Lepisosteus oculatus: one gene and its partner. The protein of the gene in region 2 interacts with the protein of the main gene of each other region in a pairwise test. Links are inferred from orthologs where the notes say so. Each region holds a gene or a part of one and is shown on either strand. Other genes may lie near its edges.

The links.
Region 1: the proteins of ccdc33 (region 2) and stk16 interact in a two-hybrid assay, tested with the Homo sapiens proteins (2 studies listed by BioGRID and IntAct). The two-hybrid records come from large-scale screens. The link is inferred for Lepisosteus oculatus from reciprocal best matches to the Homo sapiens genes CCDC33 and STK16.

Annotation. Positions count from the first base shown.
Region 1 is NC_090707.1:32,206,115-32,213,079, forward strand, and holds the start of stk16 (serine/threonine-protein kinase 16), read right to left. Parts: upstream 3,045-6,965; 5' UTR 2,936-3,044; intron 566-2,935; 5' UTR 542-565; coding exon 456-541; intron 1-455. Other genes in the region: uncharacterized protein c2cd6, read left to right, coding at 6,439-6,528. UniProt on the Homo sapiens protein: Membrane-associated protein kinase that phosphorylates on serine and threonine residues. In vitro substrates include DRG1, ENO1 and EIF4EBP1. Also autophosphorylates. May be involved in secretory vesicle trafficking or intracellular signaling.
Region 2 is NC_090700.1:59,239,117-59,246,663, reverse strand, and holds the start of ccdc33 (coiled-coil domain-containing protein 33), read right to left. Parts: upstream 3,034-7,547; 5' UTR 2,933-3,033; intron 2,523-2,932; 5' UTR 2,481-2,522; coding exon 2,210-2,480; intron 540-2,209; coding exon 73-539; intron 1-72.

The sequences.
Region 1 (6,965 bases), on a different chromosome or scaffold from region 2:
AACCTGAAATTATTTTTTGTTAATATAGTCATCCTCATAGAAGCATAGAAGCATAGAGATCCAAAAGACCAGGACAGTGATTCACCGAGCCCAGTCGGCTTGGCTCCCTGCATGAGCAGGGAGGTACGAGACTACGAGAGCATAGATGTCGGTCATCGAGTAGCAATAATAATGCGCACACAGCCAAGCTGGACCTCTTGCTGTCTCATGTGGTCAATTAAGCATTTTTCAATTGATGACCGTGTTTGTTTTATCATCGGACTTTAGGGGGAATTTAATTTTTTGTGTGCAGTTTAATTTCCTGGTTGTATAACCTGTGTGCGCGCACGCACGGACATAGCTGAGAGGGAACGGTCTCCAACCGTCACCCACTGCCCTCCATTTTGTTCCTCTTTTCTGTTTGATCCACTATCACGGCCCCAAGGGAAGACCCCAGCCCAGCCGGTGCTCCCTACCCTTCGTCTAGTTTCTGGATGAAGTAATAGCGCTTGTTCTCAATGGTGACAGTTCCTCTGGAGCAGATACACATGGCATGGCCCATGGTCCCTGTAACATCCTTTGATCACTGAGGAAAGAAAGAGCACATGGGTTCTAGATCATTCGTGCAAAAGCAGAAAAACTGGCTTCAAGAGTGTTAATTTACTCGAGCGAGTGCTACATTCACGAACCACACAGGCAGAGCAGCTAGCCAGGACGTCGAAGCTGATCAGCACAGTTCAGATGTTAGCCCTGGGCAACCTCTTGACTTCAGAGGCAGAGGACTCTCTTTTGGAATCTAAACTTATATTTTAAAATGACAGTTTCCTCTTGGGGATGGCACAGGGGCTCAATGGTTAGCATTGCTGCCTCAAATTGCTGGGGCCCTGGGTTGAATTCTGAAACGGCGGTGCTATCTGTGTGGAGTTCGTATGTTCTCCAGTTTCCTCCCACAGAGATATACTGGAGGGTTAATTAATTAATACTGGAGCTAAAACAGGCCCTAGCGTGAGTGTGTGCACGTCTTCTTCTGCGTCTGTTTGCCTGCCTTGCACTGGACTGGCATCCAGCCCGGGGCGTGTCCTGCCTTGCACCAGTTGCATGCTAGGACAGGATAAACGAAAGGCAGACCATCTCTTTTAAAGGCATTTAAATCAAGACAAGAAAAGATTTATGCTTTCTAAACTAGAGACAACTAACAAAAAAGGTAACACCTAAAATTGTTTAAAATATGGGATGCTATCCCTATTTATCCTCTTCTCAGAAGAGGGGTTCATTTTGAAGAGATGTGGCGTTTTTCCTCAAAATGCCTATTCCAGGAAGCTTTCACCACTACCGTCTCAGAACACATTCCTCCTGGTTTTCCCTCCAGCCGAGCTTAATGACTTAACGGAACTAACGAGGCACTCGATTGCCAATCTGTCAAAGTTCTTTTTGTTGTTCTACTTTTTTATTTTATGGCAATGAAATGCAGTAGTTAAAGGGCAACCACCTACACACTAAAGAGCTAAAAACAAATCAAATGGTTTGAATCAATCGTGTTATTAGGTCAATTAAAGAATCCATTTGGAAACCCAAGAGCTTGGTTTACTGTCAGGAGGCTACCCTGGATCACTGCTTCACAGCTGCTCCGACTGCTGGTGCAGGCTGTAGAGTCCAGGGGTGGTCAATCTCACACACCTGCCGATCTTCATTCCAGTTGAGCTTAATGACCTCCTAGAAGCCTTTATTGAATGAATAAACTGCTGGATTGTAACAATCGCACAAGTATTCCCCCCTCCCCAGACTCAAGAGTTTGTTTGGGATTTGATCTTAATGAGGAAAATGCAGTACTTTAAATGTCTATCTTCAATAGGTCTTAAAGCAGAAAACAGTCACACAGTTCAAATCCACCCTGTTATCAAGTCAATTACACATTAAATGGTGTAACTTTCATCTTGGCTGAAGCAAAAACACACAGTTGTGTGAATCTCCCTGACCAGGACTAGCCGATAAAGACTACACTCCCTAAACACTAATACTACATCCTGTTTATGCATTGGAATAACATGCAGTTACTGTACATATGATGCCAGTCCAAACTGTGAACCAGTACTCTTCTATTGACGAGCTGACCTAACAACCAATAGCCAGGCTTTCTGAACACATGCATAAAGAGATATCTAACTGAATAAACAAAGTATAAAATGAGTGGTGCAAGACTCGTGTTTGTGATGAATACACATTATCCACGATCCATAGAATACTGGATCACAGTGACATTTTCTAGTATATTTGAAAGTTTGTAAATTATTTCTTCAAATCATTTCAGTAATAGTACTGAATGAATATACATGTAATACGATGACTAAAAATAACCAAATTTGTTATTTGAGCGCGTCAAGAGCTGTGCTGACTGATGCACACGATTGTCTCCTGCTGGTTTTTACTACAAATGAGTAACGTAGTACCAAAATAACAATACTATAAAAATTAACTTTTCCTTAAAACACGGTTTCTATGTCACAAGAAACTTCAATATGTAGCGTTTCTATTAAGGTGGCGCTTAAAAGAAACTACCCTTTTATGCATTAACTGTAACTGAACCCATCGGTTGCGCTCCATCGTGAATAATTCATAGCCCTTATTTAAAAACAAATGACATATTACTTATGTGAACGTGCGTGTTACGACACGGGTGTAAATTCCGCACATTCATTTGAAATAAAAAAAACTTACACAGTGCGCATATAAAACATCCCACTTTGGGCTGAACGCAAAGACCTATATGGTTTAATGCTAACGTGGCACGTACATCGCAGTTTTAAATCATAGCGACAGCATCTAACATTGTAGTAGCAGCAGCAGGGTCTACCGGGAAGAGGAATTGTTACTTAAATCTATAACCAGTCGGATATAATCTCGTGCAGTGAATGATTTAGACCGCCACCGAAAGAAAACACATTGGATCTAACGTTACCGTGGGACAGAATGTTATATCTCCGTCCTTTTAAACGTTTCTCTCCCGTCTCTCTCGCTTTATCTTCACCTCCAGATGATTTCCGGGTAGAGAAATTCCTCCTGCGGCCAGCGCGTCATCGACTGGAGAGACCCCGCCTCTGTTTTAAACACACAGTAACTCTCATTCACACATTTCACACATTTCATGTTAATAGTAATAATAATAATAATTGCTTACACTTATATAACGCTTTTCTGGACACTCCATTCAAAGCGCTTTACAGGTAATGGGGACTCCCCTCCGCCACCACCAGTGTGTAGCCCCCACCTGGATGATGCGACGGCAGCCATAGTGCTCCCGAACGCTCACCACACACCAGTTCTCAGTGGGGAGGAGAGAAGAGTAATGAAGCCAGTTCATAGATGGGGATTATTAGGAGGTCATGATTGGTAAGGGCCAATGGGAAATTTGGCCAAGGTAACACCCCTACTCTTTTCGAGAAACGCCCTGGGATTTTTAACGACCACAGAGAGTCAGGACCTCAGTTTTACATCTCATCCGAAGGACGGCACCTGTTTACAGTGTAGCGTCCCCATCACCATACTGGGGCATTAGGACCCACATGGACCGCAGGGTGAGCACCCCCTGCTGGCCCCACTAACACCTCTTCTAGCAGCAACCTTAATTTTACCCAGGAGGTCTCCCATCCAGGTACTGACCAGGCTCACACCTGCTGAGCTTTAGTGGGTTGCCAGTTGTGAGTTTCTAAAGGTTATGGCTGTTGTCGAGATGTTGGGGAGGGCAAGCGTAGTACTGTATTGTTTAAAACCCAGTTAGCGTTTGCCATTATTGATAGAATGCACGTGTAGGTTCAGACAGTATATATTTGTGGACATCCTATGTCAACACGTTTCCAAATAAACATCTGGCTATGCAAAAACGGTTTATATTGTTTTGAAAATGTATCCATTTTCAATAGTAGTTACGGAGTATTCAATTACAATACAATATATTAAGTATTCAATAATTACAACATATTTAATAGCCAAAATTCATTTGGAACCATAGCACAGTTTGCGAATGGTCCCATTCATGAACAATTGTCATTGTATGAAACGGAGATTAAATTATTGCATACTACAGCAAAGCTATTTCAAAACTAAGAAGACTGTAGCGCGGGCAAAATGGGGTTAAGGAATTAATCCTGTGCTGCTTAATCAATTGATTTTTCTATGTTTTAAATGTGTTATGTTTGGAGAGTTTTATGAGTGAGGGTACAATGAGCCAAACCTGTCAAAAGTGGGTGGGTGTCCTGCTATATTCTGTATGTGGTGCTACATTAAGTCACTATACTTTTCCGCAGTTTGTTCTGTTTCTTCAGTGGCATTTAACTACTCCTTGATGGACAACTGTCTTACTTCTTTCTAAAACTTTACAAAATACAGTGGATAAGATAAGGGTGAAATGTGCTGTAAGTACTGGTCCCTGACTAAATAACATAGTGGCTGGAGAACCACAATATTTGTTTTTGAAATTGATTATATTAGTATTTACAGAATTACATTTCATTTACAGTATATAAGTTATTAACTGAAGTTCAGGAGGGCAAACAATGACAAATCAATCTCACACAGCTGGAATTAATCACCATCATTACAGAAATTGGCTGAATATACTGAACTCCAATACCTCCCTTTCTGCCAGCAGCCATATCCTCCGGCAACTCACAACTGGCAGCCCACTGAAGCTCAGCAGGTGTGAGCCTGGTTAGTACCTGGATTGAAGACCAGCTAAGGTTGCTGCTGGAAGAGGTGTTAGGGGGACCAATAAGGGAGCTCACCCTGCCGTCTGTGTGGGTCCTAATGCCCCAGTATTAGGCACACTATGCTGTAAAAAGCCACCATCCTTTGGATGAGACGTAAAACCGGGGTCATTAAAAATCCCAGGATGTTTCTCGAAAACCCCGGCATCCTGGCCAAATTTCTCACTGGCCTTTACCAATCATGGCCTCCTAATAATCCCCATCTCTGAATTGGCTTCATCACTCTGCTCTCCTCCCCACTGATAGCTGGTGTATGGTGAGTGTACTGGCGCACTATGGCTGCTGTTGCATCATCCAGGTGGGGGCTGCACATTGGTGGTGGTGGAGGGGAGTCCCCATTACCTGTAAAGCGCTCTAAATGGACTATCTGTAACAAGCACCCCCTACCCCACCCCATTTCCACTTTGCAGCTGCCCCTTGGTTCAGTCAGTCTGAATGGAGCCCGAGTCTCCTCGTCCTGTGGGAAGGAGACCAAGAGGGTTAATGGAAACTTTTTCACCATGTATTCCAAGCATTAACAAAGCAAAAAAAAATACAAAAGGTAGAACCCCCCCCCCAAAAAAAAAGACTTAAACATCAATTAATTCATAGCTAGTTTATATACAGTACTTAGGAAATTTCTACAATGTATAATCATACAGTACTATACAGAAATAAACATTTTTTTATTATAAACATTTCAATATAAACTGAAATGTATCAAATCCTACATTTTTGAAAATCCAGTATACTTGCCATTTTGAATGTCAGTATTTCCATACTAAGATTATCTAATGTTATCTTAGTCCAATACGGAAAACAGAGCAATATTAACAACGTATTTTTGATACGACTAAATTGATAAAACAGTTTTAATTTAAAAAGGTATCAGTATAAAATGGGAAAAGTCACCAATTAAAAAATTTTGGAGCATAAATGAAATGGAAATTGTCAAATTAATTCTAAAATTTTAGTTGTTTCATTTAAAAAAACTAAAAACTTAGGACAAGTAACGAACACTTGAATAAGAATAATAAACATGTGAGTAAGATTCATTCTATCAGTATTTGTTAACAAAAAATGGAAATTGTTAAGTCTGGAAGTCTGAAATGAAACTCCTTTCTTCTCCAAGTTGAACTTTTTAATGTTAGCAGTAATTATGAAATATAAATACACACAGGCAAGTACAAGAAATAAATGAAGACTCAAAACTTACAAACGAATAATAAGAGGACAACTAAAAGTTAAAACAATAAAGTCTCACAAAGAAATAATATTGCACGAAGCAAAAAGAAAATTAAAAGTAACTACTAAAGTGAGGGGTTTCTTTTACTACAATTAATGGTACTATTATACTTCATTGTGGTTAATGTTTTCGGGAAGTTTTTATTGTCCTGTGTGGTGGGAAACTAAACTGGTGAATGTGAATGAACAGATCATGTACTGTAACTCACTTGTTTATTTTTAAACCAGCTGTTCAGTTAGCAACAGAAGCCGTGAGCTGCTGGCTTTCAATAAATGCTGCATTGCCTGTGTTTCTAATATACAGTTGTTTATATTATATTACGTTGATGTCCTCCACTAGCCTTTTAAGAAGTCCTGTTCTGAAGTAGCGGATTTGATTTTTGCTGTTCTCTGAGGGCTTTCCCACACATCTCAGTTTCTTACAAGCAGAAGTGAGTTAGCGCAGCATCAGAGACAGAGGGCCGACAGCCTGCCCATGGATGTGACTGGAGAGGAATCACAGCAGCCAGGGTCCACAGGGACTTTGGGCTCTTCAAAGACCACAGCCACAAGTGGCCTTCTCAAGGTAAAGAAACTCTTCAACTGGGATTTATTCATACAAATCTAGACTCTTTTGAGGTACCCTTGTGATTTGGAATCAGCAATTGTGTGTGTTTTACTTCTCAGCTTGTTGTGACCAACCCTGTGATTTTCGGAAAAAGAAAAAGAAGGAAAAGTGTCACGTCTCACACTCTCCTTCGCAAACGGCGCTGCGTTCCCAAACCCACTGTTTCACAATCTCATTCCAAGCCAAGCAGCCATATCACCCTGCAACTCACAACAGGCAACCCACTGAAGCTCAGCAGGTGTGAGCCTGGTCAGTACCTGGATGGGAGACCTCCTGGGAAAAACTAAGGTTGCTGCTGGAAGAGGTGCTAGTGGGGCCACCAGGGGGCGCTCACCCTGCGGTCCATGTGGGTCCTGATGCCCCAGTATAGTGACGGGGACACTACACTGTAAAAC
Region 2 (7,547 bases):
GGAAACACACGACAACAACCGCAGCGGGACTGGTCACTTTCAGAGCAGGTTCAAGTGGGGCCGTTTCTCTACCTGGGGAGTTGGAGGCTGAGGAAGCGCAGGCTCCGTGGGCTGAGGCGGGGTGTTTTCGGGGGACGGGGACTGGGAGGGCCCGAGGGTTAATGGAGGCACCTGGAGAGTCGAGGGACCCGGTGAAGGCGCCCCGCCCTTGTCCTCCTCCTGGATGGAGGGCATGCGGGAGGCACTGGCCCGGCCCTCGGGCAGCGGCCTGGACTCGTGAAAGGAGACGGCGTAGGCCAGCCGCCCGCAGTGCATGGCCAGGTAGTCGGTGTGGACGCGCAGCAGGGCCATGATGCCGCTGTACTGGTACAGCTCCTCGTCCCGGCGGGCGTACAGGTTGCTGCGGGGCGCGTTGGTGCGCGGGTAGATGGCGAAGAAAGCTTCGCCGGATTTGGTGCCATTGCTCGGCTGCAAGCCTGTGAGCCGCAAGGCCTCGACCTTCAGCCTGACGTCGTGGTTTTTATCATTCTTGCAGAAACCTGGAAATGTACAAGGAAGAACCAACACAAACTGGAATTCCAATTCCAAATTCCCGAATTAAAGCAAGCATCCGACAAAATCATCAGGATCCACATCTTTTGCATCTGTTTGGTCAGGATGAGGAGTCAACGGAGCCCGTTAATGGTCTGTGAATCTAGTTTCTGTGTCTCACTTTCTCAAGTTCGAGGCTTGGAGCTATTCATAAACCATGAAGCAATAGTCAGATGTGAATTTTTTAAGCTAAAAGGGAACCATTTTAAAATATTTATTGCGATAATCATATTTCTTTTTCTTTACATAAGACCCGCATTAAACCATGACAAGATCAAATTTGGAGACGACAGCAAAAAAAAAAATTAAACTGCAAAAAATCTCTGAACGCAATTTTCTTCTGGCAAGAAACACCTTTTTACACCAGACGATTGATCTTAAAAATGTTGCCATTACAAAAATGAAGATTTCAGAGGACAATAAAAAAATAATATTATCACATTTCCCTATATTTTAACTATTACCAATTAACCATTTAACTTTCCAAATATCCCCAATATGATATTTCTAAATCTTTTCTCAAATTTATTTTTGGGTAACTCATGTTCAAATTCAAACAACGTTTCATACAGGGATACAGATTTGAAAAAATATTGAAAATTATTCTATTTTTAAAAAGCACTGCTCGTTAGTGAACATGTTCAGAGGTGTTCCATGTAATTACAGCCATTTCAGACAAGCGTGTTATATTAGAATTTCTTGAAACAGCAGTGACATGCATTAATTAACTTTTCGTTATAACACAGAGGAGCTCTCACCTCTCCTGTAAGGTGTGTGTGAGAGACAGAGGAACTTGTCAGTAGTGATATATTCTAGAGAAATGCAGCAAGATCTTACCAGCAGTTTTTTTTAATGGATTTAAGATGCATGGCTGAAATGATCAGGAATATCAATTCATAGCCAGATTTATTCAAAACAAACTGCAAACAACACTCCAGTAGAGATTCTGTACTTTTATCTGATATTTCATTCTTCTTAGGTTACAATTATCCATTTCTAAATCAGTCATACAGCAGATTGTCGGACATTTTGATTTTATTTTTTTCAGCCATAGCAATCAACTCACTGCCACTTAAGTTAAAACGTTTACATTTAGCAGTTTTAGGTCTTCAAAACCATTCATAAGCCTAGTGGCACCACACTGTTCTCTGCCTGTACACCTAGACACAAAGCCACAGCCTCAGCCAAAAAAAATATCCATATAACAACCAGGTTAATTTGGCGCTGAAAAGTAGAAAGACGACTCTCGCATTCAAGCCTATTCATCCATTTAAGATACTCACATTACTTGGCTAAAAAAAAGGACTCTTTGACACTATAGCAGGGGTGTAGTGGATCCAACTCTGGTCATTAACAGCCCAAGTCCAGCAGGTTTTACAGAAAGGTTTCTTTAAAATCTCCATATTTTTAAGAATAGGAAAGAGGTCTCAGCTTGTCCATTTAACAATTTTTACCAATTAGGTAATTTTACCCATTAAGGTAATTAAGGTCATATTACATAATAAAAATTCAAAAAGGATCAGGGGACAATCAGTTAAGACATGGCTGCATACTGTACTTTCATGCACACAACGATGTAATAATCACCCTGGATTGAGGATGTGGATGCTTGCAGTACCTTTGGGCAGGGTGAAGAGAAACTTGTAGCGAAGGCAGGTGTAGATCTCATCCAGGCTGGCTTGCTCAATGACATCAGTGGTCCCAGTGCTGGTGTAGAGGACGTCACCATCATTGACCCTCAGCTGCACGCCAGTCCCACAGTCCTCCAGCAGGGGGTTCTCCACGGTCAGCCTCAGCACGTAACTGCCAAGCTCGTTGAACTGAACATTCACCACCTCAAACTCAAAGTCCAGCTCCTTCTCCTCGATCTTGAGACGACTTCTCTGCATCGCTGCCCGTCCAGGGGTGGACTTGTGGGCAGTAACAAAAATCTACAAAAAAGGCATGTGCTTTTTTACTTTTTGTCCCATGAGAAAGATTAAAATGATATGGTATTCACAGCACAATTTCAGATAGTAACTGTACCAGTTGCCAACAGCTGTACTTTATAAATTAGTTTGGCAAAATGGATCTTGTCCACACTGGTATCTGAAGGCAAAAGCAATCACTGTGAAGGATACACAACAGTAAAAGACGTGATCATTTCTGACAACGGCCATTATAATACATTCCAGTAATATATAATAGAAACAAGTAGACAAAAAAATGAAAAGATTGATTTTGAGAGGAGAAAACAAGCTGAAATTATACAATGCACGCCCCGGTTACCAGGCTAAACAATCATCCAGGACTTCATTCTACTTCTAGAAATACACAAACACCAGACATCAGAGAATCTCACCTTTCTGTCGGTTCTGAAACTGGAACAAAAGGTTGGCGTAAAAGGGGGAGATTGTGAGATCGGCTGCAGGTCAGGTTTTGAAAGTTTTCACCTGGACATTTGTTATGCTTGCAGCTAAGGAAGCCAGCACTAAGCCAATCCCACTGTGTCTTGGAAGCAAACAATGCAGGTGATTTGAATGAAGCTGTTTCCTTTCAACAAACCTCAGTGATACACAATGTGTCGTGTCTACTTCCACTGTGAACAAAGGCCAATGCACAGTATATGATCCATCAGTTTTCACATTGTATTTACATCTTACAGTTAGGGGAAAAATGCCAATGACATTCAAAAGGGGAGACTGTGAGACCGATTGGAGTCAAAGTTTTTTTAGTTTTCACCTTTGCATTTCTTAATCAGCTACAGCCTTCTACAGTACATTTAAGGTTTCAAACGCCAGAGTTTCTAGGTTACAGCGGTGTACATGTATAGTGTAGGTTTACCTTACAAAAATTAATATAAACTGAAACATAAGAGAGGTTTCAAAGGAGGCCTACACAGCCCATTTGGTTGGTAGTAGCTAATTAAAAGTATTACATATCGATCAAACACTAACCTATTGTGCTTTTAGAGTATCAGTTCCTTTGTGACTGATAAAAGCCACACCTTTTTTTTTTGACTTGATGTATATTCATCAGGTGTCAGTGAAGTAACCTTATTTAATTAATCCGGTTATTTAGCGCTATTGTGTGCTCACAGCGACAGTGGACATAGTTTAAAGTTTCACCTGAGATTGCATCATGTGCGCTGACAATGTGACTTGAAGATCACTAGCAAACAAGTTTCTGACCTATGAACTACATGCTGGGAGCTTCGTATGTGGACTTTATTACTTTTTTTCGTCCAAACTCGTTTGTATTATGGAAGGTTAATTTGAAATTATAAAGTGCTTCTTTAGAAACTATTGTCTGCGCAAAAACAAATGACCGGTAAGCGGGGAATGACAGGTAAAGACTTTGCTATTTTAAAGTAACTAATTTGTGATTTAAATAAATCGCATACCCTTCCTTTTACCTGAAACTGCACGCATGTGTTTGGGAAGCACACAGCATTTCTGAATGTGCCGAGTAAACAGAATAGGTGTTGATAGCGAGTGAATTATTACGTGATCAATGATTAGTCTACACGAAATTGTTTATCCACGTGTTCACCGTTAAATTAGTTTCATGTAAAAAAGACATGTTTATCATTCAGATTAATTTTCTAATTTTTCTTAACGATATTGATTTTATACAGTATGTTTATAGTCTAAATGTGGGTGAATTTTTCCATTAAAACACTTTTTAATACCAACAATCTTAAAGAGAATGTTAATTCTAGCTAAAATTACTATACAACAATAACTGTACTTAACTATTTACATTTGATTGTTTTATATTCTTACATAATTAAGCTTGGGTTCAGTGCAAGCCGATGATTATCAAGTTGCTTATTGAGTAAAGAGTGTTCCAAATTACCTGGCCAACTAAATCTTTAGAAGCAGCCGTCTGATTTTTTTAACTTCTCCAGATTTTATAGCCAATAAAGAGACTAACGAGAACGAAATCCATGACAAGGGGGGTTAACAAACATGGTTTATATAAAATTCTCATTCAAATTAAAATTATTAAACCACCCTTAATAGAATTCGTTTTATGTGTTAATATCATTTCTGTGATTTAATGCCGAGATTACTAGAATTAGTTAAGCGAGTTAGACGTGTTGTTGTTTTTTTGTAACTGACATGTATTCAAGTGTAATTTAAGGATATGTTATGAATAATTACTTTAGTAACATAGCCCTTTGTATTATTACTTTAGCTCATCCGGTAGTCTTTGAAAACAACACACGCACAATGCAGTCGATAGTTTCGTCAACACAGAGCATACAGTACTACCCGAACCGAACAGACATTGTCTTGGCAGAAAGCTTAAAATTGTGATTTTGTGTTAAATATCACAACGACTTCGGTTCTGTGTGGTGTTAAAACGCTATGGATTCGATAGCGAATGTTGTTAGAACAGGTATTAAATGTCATTCGTAATGTCGTGTTCTTGAGAGAATTATGTACCACTGAAACTTAAAACGGGAAAACCGTAGCCAAGTTTCGTGCCACCCTCTTTCACACAACTCCCAGAAAGATACGGCTTCTGGCAGCAACTGTAACTACCCATCCGTTACAAACATGGGGACTGTAAGCTTGTGAATTGCTTATGAGCACATACTGTAGGTCACATAATAAGCATCCCTTTAATGAAAGCAAGATTGTCTCTGATGTGGTTTTCAAAGTCGGCTTCAGTCAAAGCTACCGCAGAGGTTTCAGAAAGTTTGAGAGCGGGGCGGGGTGAGGGAGAGTTCTCCATGCTCACCTGTGCAATGCTAAATCCGAGTGACGATTTTTCCCCTCTAGTTTTCAGACCATAAAAATAAAAAGGCCCATTGTTGGGATCTGCAGAAGATCAAACAGTAGACATCAGAGGCAGTAGCTCTGCTTACTGTCTGGTCTCTTTATTGAAAAAGTAATGTATATACATTCTGAATCAGGAGCACAACTGAAGTCCTTTGTTCTGTGGCTGAGGAACAGGATTTTTATTGCTGCATATTACAGTACATCAGAGGAGATGGTGATTTGGGGTTGTGCTTGCATGCTTTCTGCAAGGGGAAAGACGTTTGACTTTTGTAAATAACACCTAAATATGTAAGGCCTAATTTATGTGGTAAATGGAGAACTGTAAGATGGAAAAAGACGTATTTTACTGCCGGATGTTATCTATGGGAGTGAGTTTAAACCTGAAGCATACCATACTTGTTGGAATCTGTCACTATTCTATCTGGACAGACAATAGAGAAGCAGTCAGATTCTCAGCATAGGATTCACCACATGATTCCCTATGCCAGAGAAGTGTGCTGTTTTGTAAAGTTGCGCTTTTGTGTGTAAAATATCTTTTGGACCTCTACATATCTCTATAAACACTGGGTGTTTCATGTACACTAACACCCTTTTATGTAATGGTCACGTGTTTATCAAGAACTAATTTGCATTGAAAATAAATCTTTACAAATCTTTGAAGGTAGTGAGATAACGGAAACCTTTGATAGTGGATGGGTCTGTCATAATCAAAGTATAATATTCGTGTCATATCCATAGCTATCATATTCAAAGTATACCAGTAACCTAGACATTACAGTAGGTCATTTACAGTGACCATTTGAGTTTTGAAAAGTAATTATTTTTTTCCAATATTTAAGGCTGTTACCTACTGTATATTTTTTGTTAAGAAAATGGTATGTTAGATCCATGAATTGGAATACCACATCTGTTTTTTTTAAACTATTTGTAGAAACTGTAATCTATGTTCATTATTTATGTCATAATTTTCTTTGTTTTTACCTGTCTAGTATACAGTAAAAATATTTTATCTTAACTTTTTAAACAACTCTTAGGTGTGTCGTGGATGTCTGTAGTTTTTAGATTGCTAAATACATATTTGTTACCTGGTTGTTTTTCTCTGTTCTGTTTCTATCTAGTGTTCAAGAACTTAGATTTCAGAGTTCGGTGGTTGGCAGCATTTTACCAGCTGGTTATGTGGACAATATTATCATGGCAGAGAGATATTTATCTCTTTTTTTTTTAATTAAATGCTTTGCTTTGTCAATTGGATGTCTAGTTAAACAGCATGGGACCCGTTTTATTAATGGCCAATGTAACTGTTCCCTGGAGGAGCTGAATGATTAGGTTGGATATGAGGTCATTATGGGGAACATAAATCTTCCTGCATTCACAGCATTGGTGTCATTTTGATCAAAAGCTTTCCCTGCTGGAAAAAGGTTAGAGCAATAGAGAGAATCGCATTGCTGTTAAGCAAAGACATAGTGTACACCAGTGGCGAGTTGCGCTCCACAGTCGTTAAAACAAACTAATTTCTTTTGCATAAATTAAAGGAATTCAAAGTCTGTGCTGAGCTCAATTGTGTCCTGATTTGCTTGAGGTCATGTCTTTAAAAACCAAACGATTGGAAATGAAAAGTTTGTTATGGCCAGCTGGGATAGAATGGTTTTTGAAATTGGGAGAACTGCCTCCATCTTACTCACAATGCTATAAGAGTATTGATTATGTTGATTGAAAAATGACTTGTGACATAGAATAGACCCCTCCTAGACCCTACAGTATTTTGTTTACAGGCATAGCAGGATGAATTCATGGTCATGTGATCAGGGTGCCTGCTGGCACATACTGCTATGTCTTTATGGAAGCACTACACTTGGTCTTTAAAATTAAAAGCTTTTCAAATCTATTGTATAAAAATTGAAACAGGGCACTCGGCCTTCATGAATTAGAAGCATAATATTGGTTAAGGCAGATGCTGAAATCTGTAACCAAATTAGATATTGTTTATTTTTTAATTTAACTTGGCCATGCTGTTTATTTACTTATGTTTAGACAGTGCCTTTAAATTGTATTGATTCATTATGCTTTTCCAATATGCATCACATCCATGTACAAATAGCTACAGCTCAATATAACTGGCCAAGACAGTATATAGTGGTGTAATAAGTTATCTAAAAAACATTTTTTTATAGTAACTCCTTTTTTGCA